6 linked regions of the Oryzias latipes genome follow. The protein of the gene in region 5 interacts with the protein of the main gene of each other region in a pairwise test. Links are inferred from orthologs where the notes say so. Each region holds a gene or a part of one and is shown on either strand. Other genes may lie near its edges. The genes, in order: rhoq, myocd, fosl2, dpyd, gopc and hck.

What was found.
Region 1: the proteins of gopc (region 5) and rhoq interact in a two-hybrid assay, tested with the Homo sapiens proteins (2 studies listed by BioGRID). The link is inferred for Oryzias latipes from reciprocal best matches to the Homo sapiens genes GOPC and RHOQ.
Region 2: the proteins of gopc (region 5) and myocd interact in binary tests that used the Homo sapiens proteins (3 or more experiments, as listed by UniProt). The two-hybrid records come from large-scale screens. The link is inferred for Oryzias latipes from reciprocal best matches to the Homo sapiens genes GOPC and MYOCD.
Region 3: the proteins of gopc (region 5) and fosl2 interact in a two-hybrid assay, tested with the Homo sapiens proteins (2 studies listed by BioGRID and IntAct). The two-hybrid records come from large-scale screens. The link is inferred for Oryzias latipes from reciprocal best matches to the Homo sapiens genes GOPC and FOSL2.
Region 4: the proteins of gopc (region 5) and dpyd interact in a two-hybrid assay, tested with the Homo sapiens proteins (2 studies listed by BioGRID and IntAct). The link is inferred for Oryzias latipes from reciprocal best matches to the Homo sapiens genes GOPC and DPYD.
Region 6: the proteins of gopc (region 5) and hck interact in binary tests that used the Homo sapiens proteins (3 or more experiments, as listed by UniProt). The two-hybrid records come from large-scale screens. The link is inferred for Oryzias latipes from reciprocal best matches to the Homo sapiens genes GOPC and HCK.

What each region holds. Positions count from the first base shown.
Region 1 is NC_019873.2:6,511,490-6,514,989, reverse strand, and holds part of rhoq (rho-related GTP-binding protein RhoQ), read right to left. Parts: intron 1,322-3,500; coding exon 1,157-1,321; intron 1-1,156. UniProt on the Homo sapiens protein: Plasma membrane-associated small GTPase which cycles between an active GTP-bound and an inactive GDP-bound state. In active state binds to a variety of effector proteins to regulate cellular responses. Involved in epithelial cell polarization processes.
Region 2 is NC_019877.2:20,228,182-20,232,325, forward strand, and holds the start of myocd (myocardin), read right to left. Parts: upstream 2,801-4,144; 5' UTR 2,443-2,800; coding exon 2,388-2,442; intron 1-2,387. UniProt on the Homo sapiens protein: Smooth muscle cells (SM) and cardiac muscle cells-specific transcriptional factor which uses the canonical single or multiple CArG boxes DNA sequence. Acts as a cofactor of serum response factor (SRF) with the potential to modulate SRF-target genes.
Region 3 is NC_019880.2:25,929,628-25,933,213, forward strand, and holds the end of fosl2 (fos-related antigen 2), read right to left. Parts: intron 2,883-3,586; coding exon 2,343-2,882; 3' UTR 501-2,342; downstream 1-500.
Region 4 is NC_019875.2:21,094,915-21,099,081, forward strand, and holds the start of dpyd (dihydropyrimidine dehydrogenase [NADP(+)]), read right to left. Parts: upstream 2,801-4,167; 5' UTR 2,627-2,800; coding exon 2,597-2,626; intron 1-2,596.
Region 5 is NC_019882.2:11,944,021-11,947,091, reverse strand, and holds part of gopc (Golgi-associated PDZ and coiled-coil motif-containing protein), read right to left. Parts: intron 2,420-3,071; coding exon 2,396-2,419; intron 1,260-2,395; coding exon 1,084-1,259; intron 958-1,083; coding exon 792-957; intron 716-791; coding exon 620-715; intron 337-619; coding exon 172-336; intron 95-171; coding exon 1-94.
Region 6 is NC_019865.2:5,151,761-5,154,557, forward strand, and holds the end of hck (tyrosine-protein kinase HCK), read right to left. Parts: intron 2,748-2,797; coding exon 2,545-2,747; 3' UTR 501-2,544; downstream 1-500. UniProt on the Homo sapiens protein: Non-receptor tyrosine-protein kinase found in hematopoietic cells that transmits signals from cell surface receptors and plays an important role in the regulation of innate immune responses, including neutrophil, monocyte, macrophage and mast cell functions, phagocytosis, cell survival and proliferation, cell adhesion and migration.

The sequences.
Region 1 (3,500 bases), on a different chromosome or scaffold from region 5:
CCTCTCACATACTCTAATCCAACACTATCGCTGCAACAAAATTGGCGAGCAATATTCGAGCTATCCAGCCGTACAAAAATAGTCAGAAATGTCATTTTAATCTTAATTGTTTTATACGTGTCCATTATCATCAGAAAAATGTCACACAAACACATTTAGAAACAAATTTGAGCAAAGCGAGTCTTTAAAATGGCCTATTCCATGCTATTCTTAAGCCTTTTATGGTAAACTACATCAAGATATATCTATCTATCTATCTATCTATATATATATATGTATATATATATATATATACATACATACATACATGTGATAATATATTACCTTTGGCACACAAAAGAATGAAGTTTTAATCAAATATCTGTTATTTTCCTGAGCTTTTTTCCAACCAGGAAGTAAAACGCCTCTTTCTCTGAGGCTCCGCCTTGCGCTCCTTGTGGGTCCGCCCATTTCACGACATCATCCTAGAGCCGGCCTCAGCAGCGTGTCAGCGTCCCACACAGCAAAACAAACAACATCCAAACTTAATTATCCGAAAGATGGATGAGCATACTGAACGTATAAAAGGAAAGAGTTTAGCCGATCATCGCTAGCTCTGTGCAGAATGGGGGCGTGTCTGTTAGCCTGGGGGGGGCGGTGCTGGCAGGACAGACTCTTCCTGGAAGGGGCGGTTCTTTATTTGTCTACATCAGCTCGTGTGAATCTGACTCGTATTCCTGGGTTGGGAGGGGCCGGTGCTCAGAGTGCAGGTTTTTAGAGAAATACTCAGAAATGCGTGTCCTGCAGTTATGCAAATGCAAAAAAACAAAACGGAGTGACAGCTTAGTTTGAGTCTAAACGTGAAGTCAGTCAGTGGGAAAACCCTTTTCTAATACAATACTTTAACACGCTTAACCAGGTTAGGGAAAAATAAGGTCCCTTTGTAGCAAAAAAATACATTTCTCAATGATAAGCATGGAAACCAAAAGAAAAAAAGGGAAAACTGTTTTTTACATTCATTTGGAAGCAAACTGCAAAAGTGCACTTAAGTAAAAAGTTCTCTCCCAAACTAGCAAAAGCTTCAATATTTATTTATCTTCCAAAAACTGATGAGGACAATTGAGAATTTACGGTAAAATGGATGTAAAATTTTTTTCCACGGGTGTTAAGAACTAACCTGAGTACCGATGAGCAGGTAAGGGACGCTGGGGGCATATTCCTGCAGCTCCGGCACCCACTCCTCACGCACGTTCTGGAAACTGGCCGGGTTGACCACGGAGAAGCAGATGAGGAAGACATCGGTCATCGGGTAAGACAGCGGCCTCAGCCGGTCGTAGTCCTCCTAAAAGAAACAAAGATGGTGAATCTCTGGAGTCAGAGGGCAGACCTGCTTCATTTCTGTTCCCTACCGACTAAAAGATGATTTCCTTTATCACAGCTCTGATATTGGGCAGAGACAACAAAAGATGATGGGTTTTGTCCCCCATTTTGGATTAATGGTTTCACCTTCTTAAAGGCTTAAAGGTGCAGCTGCAGAACATGACAACCACACACCGTTATGTCCGACTATTTTAGGGGTGAAAGCAAAAAAAACAAAACCACATTCACTAAAAAAACAGCAACCCTTTGCTTGTGATCCATCTCACATTTTCTTCCGGCTGGCATTCAGAAAGCAGCAGGGAGAAACGCAGAGTCGATGCCTCTCAGGTAATTAGAGATGACTCAGCCTCACACAAACATGAGACAAACTCAATCAGACAAGCAAACACTCGCACAGCAGCGGATTCATGTTAGGGAGTTTGTTTTTTCAAATATAACTTTTTTCTGTCTTCATCCTTCTCCATCCAGACGATTCCAAAGGTTTCACAGATCGTCTTCACAGCACAGCCTTGTGTACTGATGGAGAGTTTGGCATAGACACCATTTTCTAAACTTCCTGGTGTGATATAATTGGTCTGGATTCAGCCAATTAAAACGCTCTGGTTCAAAAACGAAGCATTCTGAAAAAAGAAATCTCTATATTAACCCTTTTGGAGCATTTTCTTTTAATTATTTTACAGTTTGCTCTAATACTTTACCATTAAAACTGTTTTTTTTGTGTGGCAATAATCCCAGCTTCTATATTTTACTAATAGTTTTCATTATATTACATAGGCCTGCACAATAAATCGCTAATATATCGTTATCTGGAGATCAAGCTGTGCAATATGCATATCATAAAACCGGTAACCTTAAATGAGCTAAAACAATCTTATGGCAGCTTGAAGTATTTAACGAATCAAATTAATCCATCTATGCATTTGACCACAAGGATGGAGCCCTTTGATGTTAGATGCTCGCCTCCTGTGTAGACGAGGGTCATTTGGAGGTAATTTAAGTTATGTTATCTTATTTAATTTAAACTGTTGTATGATATCGTCATCGCAATATAGATCACTCATATCAGGAAATGAGTCTTCCTGATGACGTGCAGCCCTAATAGTAAAAAATAATTCAAAAATCAACCAGAAACTCCCAAAAACTCAATTCGGGTTGTAGATTTCGTCTTTTTTTTTACTACAAAAGCCACAAAAAATGATATCAAACAGGTTTAATATTTTACAACAATGATCAAACATCCAGAGAGAAAATAAAAGTGAACGAATCCACAAAGTAAATACGAGGTAAAAAACAACAACACAGAAATGTCTAAATAAAAAGGGTTCCACTCAAAGGGTTTATTCCAAGCAGAATCACAAATGTGTCACAACTCTTGTTATGTTTGTATGAAACCAAAAAATTCAAAGCTAAAAAGTGTTGATGTTAGATTTTGAATGAAAACTATACTAAGGGCCGGTTCAGCTGATGTGATTGGCTAATGCACAGGTGAGTTCAGAGACTTCTGAGGGATAAGAAATGATCCGATATTTGGTTTCACATTTTCAGAATAGGACTAAATCTACAGAAACGCGTGAACCTCCTTGGATAGCCCAAACATTAACTACTGAGGAGGTTAAAGGTATTTTCCAAAAGAAGTTTTGTCTCCGCTTTCACTTCTTCAAGTCAGTGGTCTTTTTTGGGTTGTTTTTTTTTGCTGCCTCGACAAAACCTCCAACAAAGAGGCTGAACTGTAAGAAAGAAGGAGTGCGTCTGGTAAATCTGTTCCATCACACAATGTATGGAGGGGAGTCCAGCTGCTGCTTTAATTATGGTCTTCTTCAGGCTGTCAGCCTAAAAAATTAAAATAAAAAATACTCTACATCTAAGGTTAAAGAGGTAGTTTGGGGTAAAGAGAGATTTGAGGATAGACTTCTATTCAACCTTGTTAAAGTGGTTCATGTGTTCCTCAGGAGCCGGGTTTTGGTTTCACAGGTCTGGTTCAGTTTTAATTTTGTTTTTTTCCTTGCAGTTTAATCTGTTACTCACTCAGTACACTTCCTTCTGCTATCACATTTTTTTTTAGCTATGTTGGTAAATTTCGACATATTTTTGGTTTGCATCCAGTGTAAATTTGCTGAGAAATTTTTGCAGAATTTGTTGCA
Region 2 (4,144 bases), on a different chromosome or scaffold from region 5:
TACAAGAGCTCAGATTTACAGCGTGTGTGAGGTACGGCCTCACGCCACCGCCGTGAACACAAACCAGGGAGGGGATGCTCTGAAGGAGCGCTGCCTCCCCTTTTACCCTTTGAAACCAGGAAAAAGTTTGGAGACAGCTGAGAATTCTCCCTCTTTTTTCTGTTTTGAAAGGGCTTCCTCTCTGTCCTGTCCTGGGTTGGTTGCATCGTCGTTGTGTGTTTTCTTGCGCTGGTCGGTGAACAGGATCTCCAAGAACCTTCTAAAGCTGCTTGGTCGTTGGTTCTCAGTGCATTTTAAAAACGCCTTCAGAAAATGTGTCACAAATGTGATTAATTTTCTTAAAACAAGCAAAATTTCCAATAGGTTGAAAAATGCTCTTAACCAGAACTCTTATCCCAAGAAAAAAGTTTTTCTCACGTTTTCTCAAACTCAGATTATTCTGCTACTGAAAAACTTTCTGGATAGAAGATTATTTTTCTTTTAAGACAAAATGAGATATTTTGTCTTAAAATCTTTTTTTATTATGTTCATAAGATTCAGTTTTTGCCATGCGGAGCTGCTCCTCCTGCTGCTTTAGCCTGCAGTGTAAATTGTTTGGTGCATTTTATAAAAGCCAGTAATGCAGCCTAAAGCGCTGACTGGACTTATGCCCTGGAAAAACGAAACATTCATACAGATTTGATAGTTTCTAAAGCTTAATTTTCATTTAACTCCTAATAAATAGTTGTTTTTCTTGTGTACTATTTGCAGATTGATTTGCTGTAGAATTCTTTGAAGATCATAAAAAGGATAATCAAATCCTTTTGCGACATCATTGAAATCTGTATTTTAGGTTGGTTTGGCGCCCTGCAGTGGACTGGTGACCTGTTTAAGGTGTAGCCCGCCTTCACCCAGCAGCTTGGTTGACTCCAACAACCCCGTCACCCTGAAAGGGATTAGTGGGCTCTGAAGATGGATGGATGGAGTTGGTTTGGTTAAAATCAGACAAATAAAGTTGTAGGTTTTATCTTTGCCAGGTAAAAATTCATCGTCAGTGTCACATTTTATACTACCTCCTCACGTTAAACATTTTCTGTAAAAAGCATGTGATTCTTACATAAAAATGAGAATTCACCTCCGAGTTGTGGCCGATGGCCCAGAGCAACCCCGCTCCCACTTCCCCTCCCCGTTACTGAGAGCTCTCTGTTTACAAGCTCTCCCGCTATCTTACAGCCCCTCACAACCCCAACCTAACATTACCATGGCAACAAAAATGGCCTCAAATATCGGAGCCATTCAGCCTCACAGTTTAGATCCAGACACCAGCTCTGACGAGGAAAACAAAGACAGAAATGGATCTATTTGTCTGGAAGTGGATGCATCAGAATGGAGAGGAGCGGGAAGTTTCTGGCCCCATCTGCATTTTCTACTAAAAAAATATGATAATTTTACAGCTGACTTTTTTTTGGTCTGCTCCTTAATTATGACAATTTGACTAAAGAAATAGTCAGAAATGCAGTTTTAAGATTAATTTCCTTTATATATATATGTCCTCCATTATCAAAAAAAAAAAAAAAGCCACAAGCTTTCACCAGAGTGGGTCTTTAAGACTCCGTCATGGAGTTTGAGCTCAGCGCAGCAGAAGACGGAGGAGCTCCTGAAGGAGAAGTTTATCTTTATCCTCTCCTGGGGCGGAGGCGAGAAGGCGCCTTTTGTCGGGGGAGCTCCAGCTTTAAGAGGACTGTCCCACACCCTCCCTGTCTGTCATCAGCAGTAATCGCGGGGGACCTCACTTCTCTGACACCCCCTCGTGGCTTCACCCATGCTCTCATGAATCAGCTCGCTGGTTGTTATCGGCCGTGTGACTGAAACATCAGGCTGCACACTGCATCTGTGGCGCGTTAGGGGTGCCCGGGTTACAGCAACACAGTCTGGTAGCCACCGTCTCATGCCCCCCCCCAGCACAGATGCCGCTTTCCGGTCGTTCCGAGCAGCTCAGAGGAAAAGCGTCATTTGCCTCTCCATCTCTGTAATTACCACGCTCGCAGCCATGCTGCTTCTCCTGCCTCCTTCCTTCAGGGAGGGGGCAGTGTTGGTCAGACTGCAGCGCCGACAGGCTGGAGCAGGGAAAAGGGACGGAAAAAGACTTCTTTGAAGCGCAGGACACATGCATGCCCTCCATTATCCACATTCAGATGACCTCTGACCTCCACATGGCTGTTTAATTCCAACCCCCCTCCCCACAGCAAGGACGCCGGTTGTGGAGAACAAGTGCAGCAACCTGTGACAACATCCCAGATCTAAATCCATTACAGCTGAAGTCACCCCCCCCCCCCCCCCCCCTGCACCTGCCACTCTCACTGCCAGCCCCCCCCCACAAAGACAGCAGAAACAGGAAGATTCCCCACCTGATCTGAACTTTCTTCGTATGAGGATGGAGTGCTCAGAGCCCAGCAGAGTCATAATGTTCACAGTACAGTTCCAGCGCTTGCAGGTCGCAAAAAGCAGCCCCCTTGACGTTGACCCTGGCGACCTCCGCTGCTGCCCAGACGAAGAAGAAGAGGCCCGCTCTGCCTCATGGAGGAAAAGAGCTGTGGAGAGCCGCTTTCTGCCTCCTCTCCTCTCTGTGAGTCTGTGGGCCGATGAGGCTTTGGTCCCATCCAGCTGAGAGCTCTGAGCACGCCAGGGACAACACACAGATATGCCCCGCTCAGGGAGGGGCCAACCAGCCAGGGTTCCCTCCAAGCCCCTCCCACGAGGCCCGAGGCGCAGCAGGGTTCGGCTGATGACTCCTTCCTCCCGCGCCACCAGAGTAAATATATCTGCCTATCAGCCCAGCTGACTGTCATTAGGGGGGGCAAGGGGATTACTGTAGATGACGAGAAAAAGATCAAGATAGAGACTTGCAGTCTGATAGGGGAGCACAGCAACTGTGTGTGTGTGTGTGTGTGTGTGTGGGGGGGGGGGGGTACAGAGAAGAGGGCGGGAAGCTTCTGGCTTGCATACTGACAATAACATTAAAAAAAGTTAGGAACCCCCCTTTTTTTCTTTCTTTTCATAGCTTTTTCTCTCATTGGTCCCCATTTTCAGTCACTTCTCCGGCTCCAAAAAACAATTTAGAAGTCTTCAGCAAATTTGAAATAAAAAAAACTTTGGTTCTTTTCAGGAAACAACAAAAAGGTCAAATGAAGATTTTCATTCCCAAGGGTTGGAGCTTCTTCCATGCTCTCCATTAGGCTGGATCTTCCCTGCACTCACTTTTTAACCCTTTAACACCTGAGCTTTAGCTCCAGCGTTACATTCTTTGGCCTGCCGTTGCATATTAAAGATAAAGTGTTTTATATCGAACATGAGGTGTTAAATATTGAACTTTAAAGAACCCCTCCAATGAAAATAGTGTTTTTACGTGTTTTTAACATGCCTTTGTAGCATTTTTCTTGCCAATGGAGGACACATCTAAAGAAAATGAAGATTAAAACTGTGTTTCTGAGTTTTTCCTTATTCAAATAATGATAAATCAAATGAAAAAATGCTGTTTCGAAAAGCTTGAAGTTTTGCCACAAGCTCCCTGCTCAGTTCTATTCTGATGCATCCACTTATAGACTAATAGATTCATGAATGTCTTTGTTTTCCTCGCCTGAGCTGGAATCTGGATCACAACTGCACGGCTGGATACCTCTGATAATGCTCGCCATTTTTGTTGCACCGCCAATGTTAGCAGGGTTGTAAGGGGCTGTAAGATAGCAGGAGAGAATGTAAACAGAGAGCTGATTGGAAATGAGCGCTGGCTTATTCCACGCCATCAATCCCACCCACATTAAGAGGTGAATTTCTAAAGGACCCCTGCTGCTCTGCAGAAACTATGTCCCAGAAACAACAGGTTTTTTTTTGGATTTTCTTGGGTCAAAAAGAACATAATTATCATGAAAAGACCACTGGGAACGCTTTGAGAACAGATCAAAAGATGATCAGAGTGGGACTTTAGAGGTTGCATATGGAACGTTAAGTGTTGCGTGTCAAATATAAGCTGAGCCCCAATCCGCTGATTCACAGTGATCGCGTATATAGTTGAAGCGTTACGGCACGTCAGATGGCGTGTGTTCTTTGGTCACCGATGACACCTAACTGAACTTTGACCTCCAATTTCTCCAGTTCCATAAAACAA
Region 3 (3,586 bases), on a different chromosome or scaffold from region 5:
AGCTGCATTGCCCAGAGAAAACCCACACGTGCACGCTGAGAGCAAGCAAACTCCACACAAAAAAAGGACCTACCTGGGATTTGAACCAGGACATCTTCACTGTGATGCAGAAGTGCTGACCACTACACCATTCTGCTGCCCTACCTTAGGCATTTACGCAGCTGAACCATCACATAGCAAAGCCTCCTGTCCATGAAAAAACTCCTCGTGTTAAAAACACTATAATGGACGACCTTCTAGCTGTCATTGATTCCCATCATCGACTCAGAAAGGCCTTTGATTGTCATTTTTTACAAATATTTTTACTTTTATTTGTGATTCTCTCCTGTGCAGCCTTTGAATTTATGCATTTACTACCTAAACCTATTTTCTATGATTCATCTAAATCAAAGTCAAGACAGCCGTTGAATATTTCTCTGAGTAAATCATCCAGATGAACTAGGAGGACGTGATTCCACCCGATGCCAGAACCACAAACCAACAAATAAGAAAAGAAACAATTCCAAGTTGAAAATTATTTTATTATCATTTATCTTTTAAATTAACAAACACTGCTTTACATATTGCTGTTTTTACTCATTTTGAATTATTTGAAACAGTTAAAGCATTTGAAAAAAAAAAATTAACAGTAGAACAGACAACAGGTGACATGTAGAGCAGAAGATCTACAGTCCATGGCTTTCCTATGTGTGTTGAAGGGCTCCATAGAATTCCAGCATGCAGACAGAGTGCTGCGTTGGGGCCGTCCTGCAGGCTGGGGGGCCCCGATAACAGCTAGTCACATTACACCCCAATAGAAACACCCAGCATGTGTGTGTCTGTGTTTCTCCCAAACAAGTAGCAGCTTGTGTTGAATTGCAAAAGAAATGCAGTTTCTGCATCCAGCGCAACTTTCTTCCCCGCTGATCACAGAAAGGGTTCAAGCAAACCTGACGGTAGATTCATTGAAATGTCTCAAGTAAACAAAAGGACAAGATTCAAATTTCACCGGTCTGCCCTTCGTAGTGCGTGGCGTTTAAACCTCTTTGAAAAGGTTGTTGGCTTCCACTCCTTGATGCAGTTTATGGTCTTCATCCTCTCTTGTGTTGGGTTCTGATCCAGCTGAGCTTTGTGTCGATGGCTGGACCCCCAAATCAGAACATCTAAAGGAGATTTTCCCACTCTTTTCTAAAAAAAAACAGACTGAAATACAAACACTGCAGAAGAGGGTTGACATCATTGGCGAGTGGCGACAGTCTGGACCACAGAGGCTTCTCCTGATTTGAGCAAAATCCTCCTTTTAGACACAGACACACAAATCACAGGATTTACAAGAATCTTATTTTTGGCTTCTTGAGACCTGCCTGGCCCCCAAGATGGAGCGCTGAACCAGAGTGAGATGTTTGGAAAACAAAGATGTTTTGCGCAGAAGGAAGGTTTTGTTCAAACGTACAGAACTGTCCGAGGTGGCGGCGGCGGCTGCTGCTGCTCGCCGCACCGCCTCTGGAACAGCCAGAAACTCTGCCGCGCTCTTCAAGACACACCAAACACCGTCCCTGACATCAATGTAAATCACGTACACTTTGTCAAAAAACAGGTCGTAAAGTTCAGATACAGAATCGCTGAGGAAAAGCACACAATACTACTGGAAAGTCAAGCCACTAAGGCGGAACAGGAAGTGCTGAAGGGTTTCTTTCCCCAACACTGAGGAGGGCTCGGCTCAAACTGCTTTTCTACAGGCGGATTGAAGAAGAGAACAACAAAACAGTTTTGAAACTCCATTAGCACAGGCCATAAATACACTGAAAGTCATGGAGAAAACAGCAGAAAAGTCTACACACTCTCAGAGCCTATAGTCTCAATATCGACAGGAAAAGACAAATCTCAATGAAAAAACAGCCAAGACGACGTCTTTGTTTCTCCATAAAACTCCAGCAAAAATGCCGGCCTCGCTTAGTGATTTATTCATTTATTCGTTTTGGCAGAGTGCAAGTGTCAACAACATGGCTTTTAGGATAAAGTCAATAAAAATCTAGGAAAGAGTTGTTCTGTGGTCCCGTCAGTCATGATTGCCGCGTACGTTCAGGCAGGTTTCTTCAGAATCGTCTGTAAACATGATGACCCCTGGAGTTGAAATGGTGACAGGATGATGCTTTAGGGTTGTTGCACACCTTGGGTGGGGGGGTTGTGGCGTGGTACTTATTGCCCCCCCCCTCCTTCAAACCCGGAGGGGAGACGGCTCACGCAGTCGACTTGGTCCAGACTTTTGAATGTGCTTCAAAAACACAGGAGGGGGGTAAAGGGGCAGTTGACCCTGGGGTTTGACCACAGTGTTACTTCCTGGCGTCGGCTGCCTCCTCCACTCAGAGGGCCAGGAGGGTGGGGGAGTTGAGGGAGTCGGAGGACTGATCCCCGCCGCTGCTGCTGCTCCGCCGGTGGGCCTTGGAGCAGGACTCGGAGGAGGGTGAGGGGCTCTCCGGCTCCAACATGTTGGGGTAGGTAAATATGAGGTTGGGGGCATTAGGTGTCGTGGCTGGGGTGGAGGCCACCACCACAGGCGTGTTCAGGCTGTCTCCGTCTGGACAGTACAAGCCGCCGCCACTGATGCAGATGGGCTTGATGACGGAGCGCTGCGGTTTGTTCAAACCTTCGTCTGCGTCGTCCGGCTCCTGCTTCACCACCACTTGGCTCATCTGAGCCCTGGAGCCCACGCCGGGGCGCATGGACAGCGGGAGCAGGTTGCACTGCTGCTGCTGCGCCGAGGGCTGGTGGCGCTCGGAGAGGGGCAGCTTGCACACAGGGTTGTGAGCGACGAGCATGAACTCCAGCTTGTCTTTCTCCTTCTGCAGGTTCTCGATCTCCTTCTGCAGGTCGGCCTTCTCCTCCTCCAGCTTCTCAGTCTCCTGAGGAAAGAGGAAACAGAAGTTGAGCTTTGAACGCTGTCAGCGGTGTTGACGTTTCTCTAAAGCCCCAGAAGAGGGCAGTGTTTACCTCTTCATGCAAAATCAACAAACCCAAACAAGGCTTCTAAACATTATCAAAGACATAAAATCTCAAGCATGATTTGAGCATTCAGCCATGGCTGTGATTGTGATTCATGTCTTAGAATAAAACAGATGTAGATAAAGGAGGCAGACCCTAAAAGTGCTGCTTTCATGCTCTCAGAGAACTTTGGCTGGTGTGCAAAGGTATGAGGAAGTTGTTAACAAGGAACTGAAGAAAGGTGGGGTGAAGCGAAGCTCTTCAGTGCTTTAAGGCAACACACACTGCAAACATTTAGACCGTTTTTCACTCTGAGTGAAAAAGGAACTTTAAGTTTCTGTGGAAGTGTTGCACGGGCTGCGGGGTCGAGCCGGTCGCCTCTTTACAGAACGTCCTGCCTTCCCGAGCCGGGTCTAAATTCCACACAGGGCTCATTTTTATGGTCTGTTAAGCTCCACCTCACTGGGATTTTACTCCATTTAGATGTTGTAGCTGTCTGTGAGGCATGAGCAGCGGGACGCTTCTCCTTCTGTCTGCAGCAGAAACGGCTTTTCATCTGTCAGTGATGCTAACAGGAGGCTCGTACAGGAGTTTAGTTTTTTCTTTAGAAGGAAGGCAAGAACCA
Region 4 (4,167 bases), on a different chromosome or scaffold from region 5:
GAAAAGAAAAACAGCATGATCCAATAAAAGCAAAATACTCTAAATGGAAATAGTAATTATTCTTTAAATAACTTACAGGGAAAGACTTATACAAGTGGCCAGAATGTACCATCAAGTGCAACTCAATGGTTATTTTAACCTGTCATTCAGATTAAAGGTGATTGATTTTGTATTTATTCCCCAGGATTTCAACGCTACTTTTGTTTAACGCAAGAAAATATTCTTAACAATATCTTTTCCAAAATTTGACAGAGCAAAAAATATAACAAAACTAAAAATGTAACTTCAGCCCTTCTTGGCTTCTGCATGTGGTTTTGAAACAGACTCCAATTTTTCTTTGCAGAAATGTAACAAGAAAGAAAAAAATGAACTCCACAATAGTAAATTCCCTTTCATCACTCATAAACAATGCTTCACTTTAGTAGAGTCCAACCCCTGTTGGTCATACAGGGAAATTAATATTTTAATAATAGTACTTTTTTGTATTTATTTGCCCTACATCAGCTAAGATGATTACTTTTAGTAAAACATTGCCAAAAACTAACTATGCTGGTAAAACCAAAGTAGAAGCAAGTTACTTACAGGTTATACAGAAAAACCTTTTTCCAGCTGTTTTCTTCAATATGATCTAAACATCCTAAACCCCCAACCAAATTTTTGAGATGTTATTGTCAAATGCTGTAATAGGAATAGGAGAAATTTGCTGTTCAGACTTTTGAACATTCCTGGAAATCTGGCATTTTGAATGATTGGTTTCAAAGTGATACGATAACAGCAAGATGATAATCTTAGGCTTACTGACATTTTACACATGACAGCTAAAACATTAAAATTAAATGTCACGAAGGCGAGTCCTTAATACAAAATTATTTATCCAATTAGATCAAGAGTATTTAAAACAAAACAGCATGTTAGAGCAGAGTCGTGGTAACTCTGGCCTGTATAAAATGTAAACCTTACATAAAATGTGTCTAATTTCTGGTCAATTTACTAATTTATTTGAGATGAGACAGTCTTATAATAGACTTAAGGGACGAAAGACTTAAGGGACGAAATGACAAAGGTTGCTGTGTCTCATATCCAGTTTGGATAGACTTTGATAAGCATGATGCTTCAGCTCTGTCCCTTTTGGTCAATGTTGGTTACTGTTTAAAAGTAGTTTAAAAATGTAACGCTTGAAGAACTTCCAAGCTTCAAACTTCACTCACAAATGTGATTCTGACAAAAATCCTGATAGATTATACAGATTTAGATTTTTTTCTAATGCTGTTCTCAATACAGAAAATAAGTCATTTGTAATTTTTTTTGTAAATAATTGTTTTCTGCCCCTAGTCTGGATAATGTACACTTTGCCACATGAGTTTTTCAACCCCCATTCTGTTGCTAAACATTTACTACATGCTCAGAATCTCTTGCAAAGGGAGACTCCCCCTTTCCACGAGAACACCGTGTCCCCCCCTTTCAGCCACGTGCCACTGATCCTCATCGAGTGCATAATGCACATGTCTGGTTGAGTAATGCTTTAAACATTTTGAATTCAACTAATTTCACCCATGAGCAAAGTTAAGGCTTTTAAACTGTGATAACTGGCCACTTAAAGAGAAAAAATTGTAAAAAAAAAGCAAAGGTCCAATGTCTGGATTTTCTTTTACCCAAGTGTATGACTTTACTTTAGAATCTGGTGATGCTTATAATGAAAAATGTCACAGCTGAAGCCTGGCAAAGGTGGAAAGTCTATTCTGAGTTCTGCTGCATTTAATATTTTTTTATTCCAAATTCTCACTTCCAGGACTCTGCAGGGACATTGCTTATGTCCTTTGGGCCTCAGTTTGGGTTTTTCACTTGCACGGCTTAAAAGATTTCACAAATTCAATTTTGTCATTTTCCAGAAGTTTTTACATCTCTGTAGAATGCATATTCATGTAAACTTTTTCAGATGTTTTTATTTTTATATTCCTTTTTGCATTAATGCAACGGTTGCAATTTTCCTGCAAAATTGTGCAAGATGGACTTCCTTCCTGCTGCCCTGTTAAAGTTTTTGCAGCCATTAAATCTGCTTCAATGAAAAGGAAATGTTTCCATCTAGCTTGTAGATCACAGCTTCATTTTTCTTTATTTGGAGCATTCACTTAATTATTAATTAATCAAATAAAAAATTAAAAAATCAAGAATTAATCAAAATTTTAAAAAGGTGACAACTCTGAACCTCTACTCCGGAAAGTGTGCCTCCATTCTCAAGGTTATATTTTAAAACTATTAAATGCATGGCGTTTTTACTCTGTAATGGCTTTAAACTTCCTAAAAACACTTGGTTTTCCAGAACATAATTGTGAAATGACTTAAAAAAGGCAAATTTCACAATCTGTTTTTCTGAAAAAAGCCATACAACTAAATTGACCTCATAGTATTTTAGTGGATGTGATTGGAAAAGTAAATTAAGACAAAAGTCTAAATCTCTGTGTCTTTAAATGATTCTGGTTTTGATTTTCCATCCAAATCAACCAGTAAATATAAACAGAACATTTTAAGCTTTTAAGTTGTTTGATCAGAATACTAGAGTGAGACTCCGGTAGCTTCTTTAGCAAGCACAATTTACCTCAATGTCTGGAAGATCTTTACTCAGCATGTTTCTGCCTCGATCAGCAACAAAAAGGTTTTTTTTTATATAGTGAAGGAGATCCCAGCAGGTTTTTCTGGATTAGATGCGTCCGAAGCACTGTCCGGGACAGCTCTGATCCCAGGAGCTCCAAAAAGTGACTGTCTCAGTTGCTTGCCCTCTTCCCTCTCTTGCAGGAAAGGTCAGACAACGTCACCAACTTTGCTTCCTTCCAAATGCCCGCTGGCTGATAGGTGGACAGTGGGCATGTTTCCAAGTAGGCTGGACTTGACCTTTGATATGGGAAAGAGTTAACATTGTAATCTTTTGAGTTCAAAATCCACCTCTGATAGGGGGTTGAGGCCTCTTGGCATTTTTTTCACCGTGTACAGGATTGTTAATCATTTTCTGCCTCAAGTGAACTTGTTTTCTGGTTGTATAGGCTTAAACATTCTGATAATAACTTAGTGTATTACTTTATGATTTAAGCAATGCATGACCCATTTGTAAAGGCAGACATTTCAGAACTGAACCTACAATGAAGAGGACGGGAGCACGATTCTGCCAAATGTGTCCCTTCTGCCACTGCTGCGCTGAATAAGATGAGACTTGAGGCAACTCCCACGTGTTTATGCTGCTTTGTTATGTTGTGTAATTTATACTTTATGTGGGGCACACAAAAAAACAATGTCACAAATGGAACAACATACACTATCTGATGCTAAAAATGTAGACAAATATGAAACACCTTTCTCAGTCAAAGCCAATGTGATCTGTTAAAGTCAAAGCCATGTGTTCAGGTGCTTTCAGGTGTCAGTTTTTGGGTTGCTTGTACGTCAATCAATAATGCAGGACCCCCCCCCCCCCTCCTCAATTTGCAATTAAAGACAATGTTAGTGGAATTAATATCTGCATATAACTGAGGACACATAAGAGAATACACACAGGTAAAGAGGTAGAACTCAAGCACATTGGTTTCCCTTCTATTTTTATCAAGTGTGCTTCATAATTATTATAATAGACATATGTCTCGTCACCTCAAATCCATTGTTATAGTCACAGCCTAAAACCTGGACGTACTTTACTTTTAAGGTTTAGCCCATTTGTGGAACTGAATTGGTCCCTGTGCTTGATTTATGATTGACACTTTTGAGTCCCTTAAAAATTAGATAAGACTGAGCTGCTGTTTCAGTTGTTGGAAGAAGCATTTGGATGCATGTTTTGTGTACACAATGTCATTAGCAACTACAAATGTGTTTTAAAAAAAAGGTTATTTTTAATTGCCATGTTTACTTTTGTTTTACTATATTGGCATTAAGTGACTGTAATACCACAAATACGTCATCAAATGTTTCCAACAAATCTACCAAGTAGATAAAGTGCAAAACATCCAAAACCCTTCATTTTTAAGAATATTTTTGTGCATTTTGCGTGTTCAAAGTACGTTTTTCAGCTTCAAAAGCACAAAGATGTGCAGCTTGACATATCAAATCATTGTGAGGACTTGGCTTATCATTAGGCACACTCTTATGCTAGAGTATGGGTCTGGGGGAGTTGCTTAGCAACAAGGC
Region 5 (3,071 bases):
ATCGATGTCCGCTGTCGTCCTCATACTCCACGTTCTCGTCATCGCTGTCCACCTCCGGCGCCACGTACACCACCTCAAACTCTATCTGGCCTCTCTAAAACACAATCGCCACAATGAGTAGGTCAGAGAGCGCTCCCTGTGGCCACAGCGGGGACTGCAGCCACACCTTACCTGCTGTGACAAGATGGTGACTGCCTCCTTGTGCTTCGCATCCCTTAAATTGATGCTGTTGACCGCGAGGATGGCATCTCCGACGTGCAGGCCTCTACAACGGTCTGCAGGTTGACCGGGATGGATCTCAGAAATCAGGATGGGAACGCCGTGCTCCTTCCCGCCCTAAAAGGAAATCCAAGTTAAAGGATCTAAAGCCAAAACAGGATCTAAGAAGTTTAACACATTTGTTCCATTACTATTGCAGAGGGTTACTTAAGACCAAAGTGACAAATTCACTTCCTGAAAAGTCTAAGAAAGAATCTAAAACATGGCTGGTAATTGGTGCTTCCTTAAGGTTACATTTCCCAGATACAAAGTGCCTGGTTCAAACCAATGCCTTCTATGGGTCTACTATGTGTCAGATAGTTGCTTTATTTTTCACAAAAGAGGTCAATCGTGTATTTACCGTGATAGAAATCCCCAAGCCTTCATGGTCCTCTTTGACCAGCGCCACCTTCCTGATAGGACCGACTCCCTGCGTTTTCTTCAGCAAGTCATGTTCCTGGAATTGCACCGATAGCTTTTAGCGAAACCATGAAAACATGAACGGCATTTAGATGTTTGAGATCTCCACTCACGTGTCCCACAGGAGAGGGTAGAGGTTTCTTTGGGTCGATGCGACCTCGGCATGCCCGGATTACAGTTTTGTGGCGGTGGAGGTGAATCTCGGCCTCCAGCTGGTTCCACAGCTTGTCATGGGCGGGTCCCTTCATGTCCCGACCGAGTAACTGAATCTGCTGCACCCTGAAAGTCACAGTGCCAGCCTCTTAGGGAAGACAACCCTTAGACAACCTAAGTCTCGTTTACTCAATGAAAAAGATTCATCACCAGGTCTTATCTTTAAACCCGCTGCTCCCTCCAGCTTCTCACCTTCCAGCCAGCTCCTTGTCCAGATATTTGGCAGCCAATCTGGCTCCGTACACCTCAGCTTGCAGTACTGCTATGTGCCTGCGGAGGGCCTCGTTTTCCTTCCTAAACAGATGCACTTCTTTCTCCAGTCTGGCCTCAGCTAACTTCTCCTTCTTACCAGCCATAAGTTCCTGTTCCTGGAAAAAAAAGCACAACTAATCACGTTTGAGCTTTTGCAAACTGGCGACACAACAAACTATAGGTTTTAGGACGATTATGCTCCAAATGATCAAAATGTTATATATCATGACATAGCTAGGTTTATATCCTGATTAAGATATCAGTAACATTGCAACGTGGAAAGGCAGTGTGACACGACTAACTGAACAATGGTCATAGAAACTAAATACTTCTTTCACTTAGAACCTTTTTCCAAGTGTTAATCATGTTAACATCTACTGCTAAACATATTTACTATTTAGCATAGGCCAATTCCTAGCTGTGCCTGAATGCAGCGTCTGGACTTTTGTGTGACTTCTGCAGTCACTAGACGCTGCTTTTATAGCTTTTGCTTGTTGATTCTCTCTGCATTCTTGGTTATGGTTCCTGTAGAGACGACAAACTCCATTAGTTGTGTGTTTGTTGTTAGGACCGGTCAACAGGTGTTTTGCCAAAAGAGAAAACCCCCCTGCACCCCGTCTGACAGCGTTCCTCACCAGGAAGTGCTTTCTTTTTGACACAACACCTTACAAACTTTACAAACAAATGCTGTCTGATCCACGTCGGTCTTCTTCTATACAAACTACATTCATGCGACGGAACAATTTTCTAGTCTGGAGCGCATTTGCTACTGACTTCCTCCATGTTTGTTTGGTGTGAGGCACATTTTGACGGAAAATAGTACCATAAAGTTCCTAATTCTGTTTTGAGCCGTAGAGCTTCATAAAAAAACAATAGATATTTTCTCTCATCTAGATATACAAGTTTCTTTAGGATTTAGACCAAATCATTGCACAAAACGAAATTTTTCATTAGGATTGTTTGCAGTTATTAGATTTGGCGTAACCATAAAGTGCCATCTCAGAAAACATTCTCATGGAAAAAGTCAACGTTGACACTGACTGATGAGCTCATATTTCCATTTCCAAGATGGTGACTGGCCAAGTAATGACTGTAGCCAGTGAGGGGAGGGGAGGGAGTGGCGTTTCCACCCAACAAGCCACTGAAGCAGAGTCGACAAAGCAGCAGGAAGTAAATATCAGCTCAATGAGGGAAGCAACAGATCCCATGGTGTCAAATCTACAGCTACACCAAAGCGGAGAGGAGAACTTACCATCACCTCCAGAGTTGGTGCAGGCTTTAAGGACAGAAGAGGAGAAAGGACAGACAGAAGAAAATGTGGGTTAGAGAAACTCATCTTTGATTGGTGTTAATGTGTGCACAGGAAAGGCAAAAATGACAAAGAATCAAAGTGCATATCAGGGCTTCAGGATGGTGCTGAAAGGGAGCAGAAAACTGTAGATGGAAACAGTAAAAGACCAAACCATCAGTTGCAACAGTAAACAAAGGAGTTAAAATAAACATTCTATTTGTTTAAATCCCATATATTCTAAATGAAAGAAATGGAAAAATGTATTCTTTAGCAGTGAGGAGAAATCTTTGGTATGGCTGCTGGAGGTCATTTCATGCGGTTTGGATGTATTTCTACCTTTTCTTATCTTCTTTAGTTTCGCTGAGTCTCTTCAGCGTCATCAGAGATCTGCAGATAAAAGTGAATTTTCCACCACTGTGGCCTGCTGAGCTTACAGTGAGTGGAGGATTCTCCCGCCCCATTGAAGCCTCTGAAACCCAGATCTGTGTCTGTCACTGTTTGTCCCAGTGGAGCATTCTTCTGGAGACATTTATGATGTAAGAAGCTCCATAAAAACTCCTCTTTCTGAGATTCATTGAGGACATTAGTGCAGAGCAGTGGAGCTAAAAGCACAATGCTGTTTTAGTTTTGTAGTCGC
Region 6 (2,797 bases), on a different chromosome or scaffold from region 5:
CTTAACCCTTGTGCTATCTTAGATGACCCCACCCTTCCATTGACCTGTTCTCCCTACCATGACAAAGGTGGATAAAGGTGAAGAGGATTTCATGTAATCCATGGACACCAGTGAAGATCACAGATCATTGAAGAAAAAAGGTTCAGCGCACTGTCTAGTGGGTCTAGATGACCCAACTCCCAACGTCAAAGTGCCTAGAATAGCACAAGGGTCAAAGCAAATTTTGCATCTTTGGTTCTTCTTCTTTGCAAACTGTTGCTCACCATACCCCAAATGTTCCCTTCTAACCTCAGCTAACTTTCCACTACTCTTCCCAATAGCTTCATTACGATCTTTTAAGAATGAACACAATTCTTTTTTTTTTTTTTTTTTTTTTTTTTTAAAAAAAAAAAAAAAAAAAAAAAAAAAAAAAAAAAAAAAAAAAAAAAAAAAAAAAAAAAAAAAAAAAAAAAAAGAATGAACACAATTCTAACAATAAATGAAAACAAACTAATAACACATTTGCTTTTTAAAAACTATTTATTTTAACATTTCAGGTGCAGATGCTGCAAAAAGATTCATATTGGTAGAGAGAATGAACAAAAAAATAAACATATTCCTATGATTATATACAGAACTTTGCAAATTCTTTCAATCATAATAATTTAGGAAAAGCACAAACGTCTTAGATCTTTGCTTCACAGATTTTGATAAATAGTGGGTCAATTTATGCCAGCACAAAATCATTTCTATTGCAGGCTCATAGCTTCCCTTTAAATTTCTCTGATTTTCTGTCACCAAACATAGTTTAAATGTGCAAAAACCATTATGAATATTCAAACAACATATGAGAAAGACACAGATGCTGCAGCAAAGGAAAAAGCAGCCATCACTAGTCATTCACATGCACCCTTTAACACAAAGATATAAAAAGCTCTTGGGAATAAAATGCTGCTCCAGTCACCATATCATTGAAATATGTACGGTACCTCTCCAACTTGTTACATTTATGCATCTTTTAAAAATAAGTTACACAGCAATAAAAATATATTGTTTTATTGAAAAACACTAAACTTCCGCAAGACTTTGTGAACAGATCATACACAGGGTTTTATGGCTACTGTATTAAGAAGGCACTGTGAGGAAATAAGCTCAGTTTGATATATAAAATAAAAAGGTTTGCAGACAGAAAAAAACAGCCTTCCTGTAAAGAAAGAAGACTTTCTATCCATATGATATGAGCCTTCAAACTATTCTATGTTTGAAAAAGCAGTTTTTACTTTGCAGTGTTGGAATTTTAAGGGCATTTCAGATGGGACAAGAAAAATGAGTTTCTGACTTGCAACACTCATTTTGTTTATTACATTATAAAATACATCTTTTACACTAAGAGAGCCACTTTTGAAAACCAAAATGCTGTTTGTATAATGCAGTTTTCTTCTAACAGACGACGCTACAGTTTGATTTATTATGCGTCTAGACGGATCCGAGCTTTGCACGGTTGCTATGCAGACATTTTATGATCCAACGATGCGTTCCTGTTATTGGTGAAATTGAACTAAACTGTAATAGGACAAATAAATCTATTATAAGTGAAAAACTGATGTTAAACAAGCCTCCAAAAAGTAGATGATATAGCAAGACAATGCTTTTTCTGTTGAAATAGAGGTGCACGAGGTTTAAATATGCAAAGTAGCCTGCAGCTAAAAAAGTGAGCTGTTGTTTTTTTTTAAAGCCGATGCATTGGAATAAATGACAGGAATTATAAGCCCATTCCCAATTATTTGAAAAAAGGCGTTATAAAATTCTTTCAAGATAACATATTTACATTAAGCTGCTTCGGAAAATATCAAACAACCCAAATTGCTAAAAGCGGTCGGAAAAACAGGGTTTTTCAAAGCCTGATTTAACTGGGGTAAAAAAGGAAGTGGAGGAGGGATTTCCAAACCTTACAGGAAGAGGTAATGATCTCCACTGACCAAAAAATCTACATTGATCACTTCTGGACTACACCCCCCTGATCACGCCATCAATGCGTCACGGGTCAAAGCTAAGTTTCTGATTGGTTTATGTGACACATATTCTTTGCGAAAGTTTTGATGTTTGAACTCTGGAAATATCGCACGTCAGAATTTTTGCTGCAACGTGCTGCCACCAGACCGCTGCAACCAACACTCCAAATGCAACGCAGGACCTCTGACGGCGTCTGTACAATGACTTAACATTGAAACTGGCCGTGCAAATCGTATTCGCCTGTAACAGCTCTACAACGCCAAATAAAAGTTGATTTCTTCGCTGATGATCTAACTTTTTTCAGACAAGTGGTTTACCCCCCCCCCCACACACAAAAAAAGAAAAATAGTTTTGATGATAAAATTAACTTATTTTAAGTCTAAAAGCATGAACTTTTTAGTTATCGCTTATTCGTGGATGTATGGAAAATGACTGAGCTACGTTGTAATAAGACTCTTTTTTTTGAGTATGAAAAGACAAAGAAGGATAAATGAAAAGGCTCAGTGGGTATGTAATACGTACAGAACACATAAGAAACAAATGTAATGCGACTCAAGGCTGCTGCTGATACTGGCTCTCAGTGGCTGTGAAGAAATCTTCCAGAATGCTCTGCAGGTAGTCAAAGGTGGGGCGCTCCTCTGCTTTATTCTTCCAGCAATCCAACATTATGTCATAGAGTTCGGTAGGACAGCTCTCCAAGCGCTGCATTCGGTAGCCTTTCTCCAGGGAGCGGATCACTTCTGGGTTGGTCATCCCTGGAGATCAGCAGAAACATAGCTGAATTTTCTCACCATCTTCTGGGCTT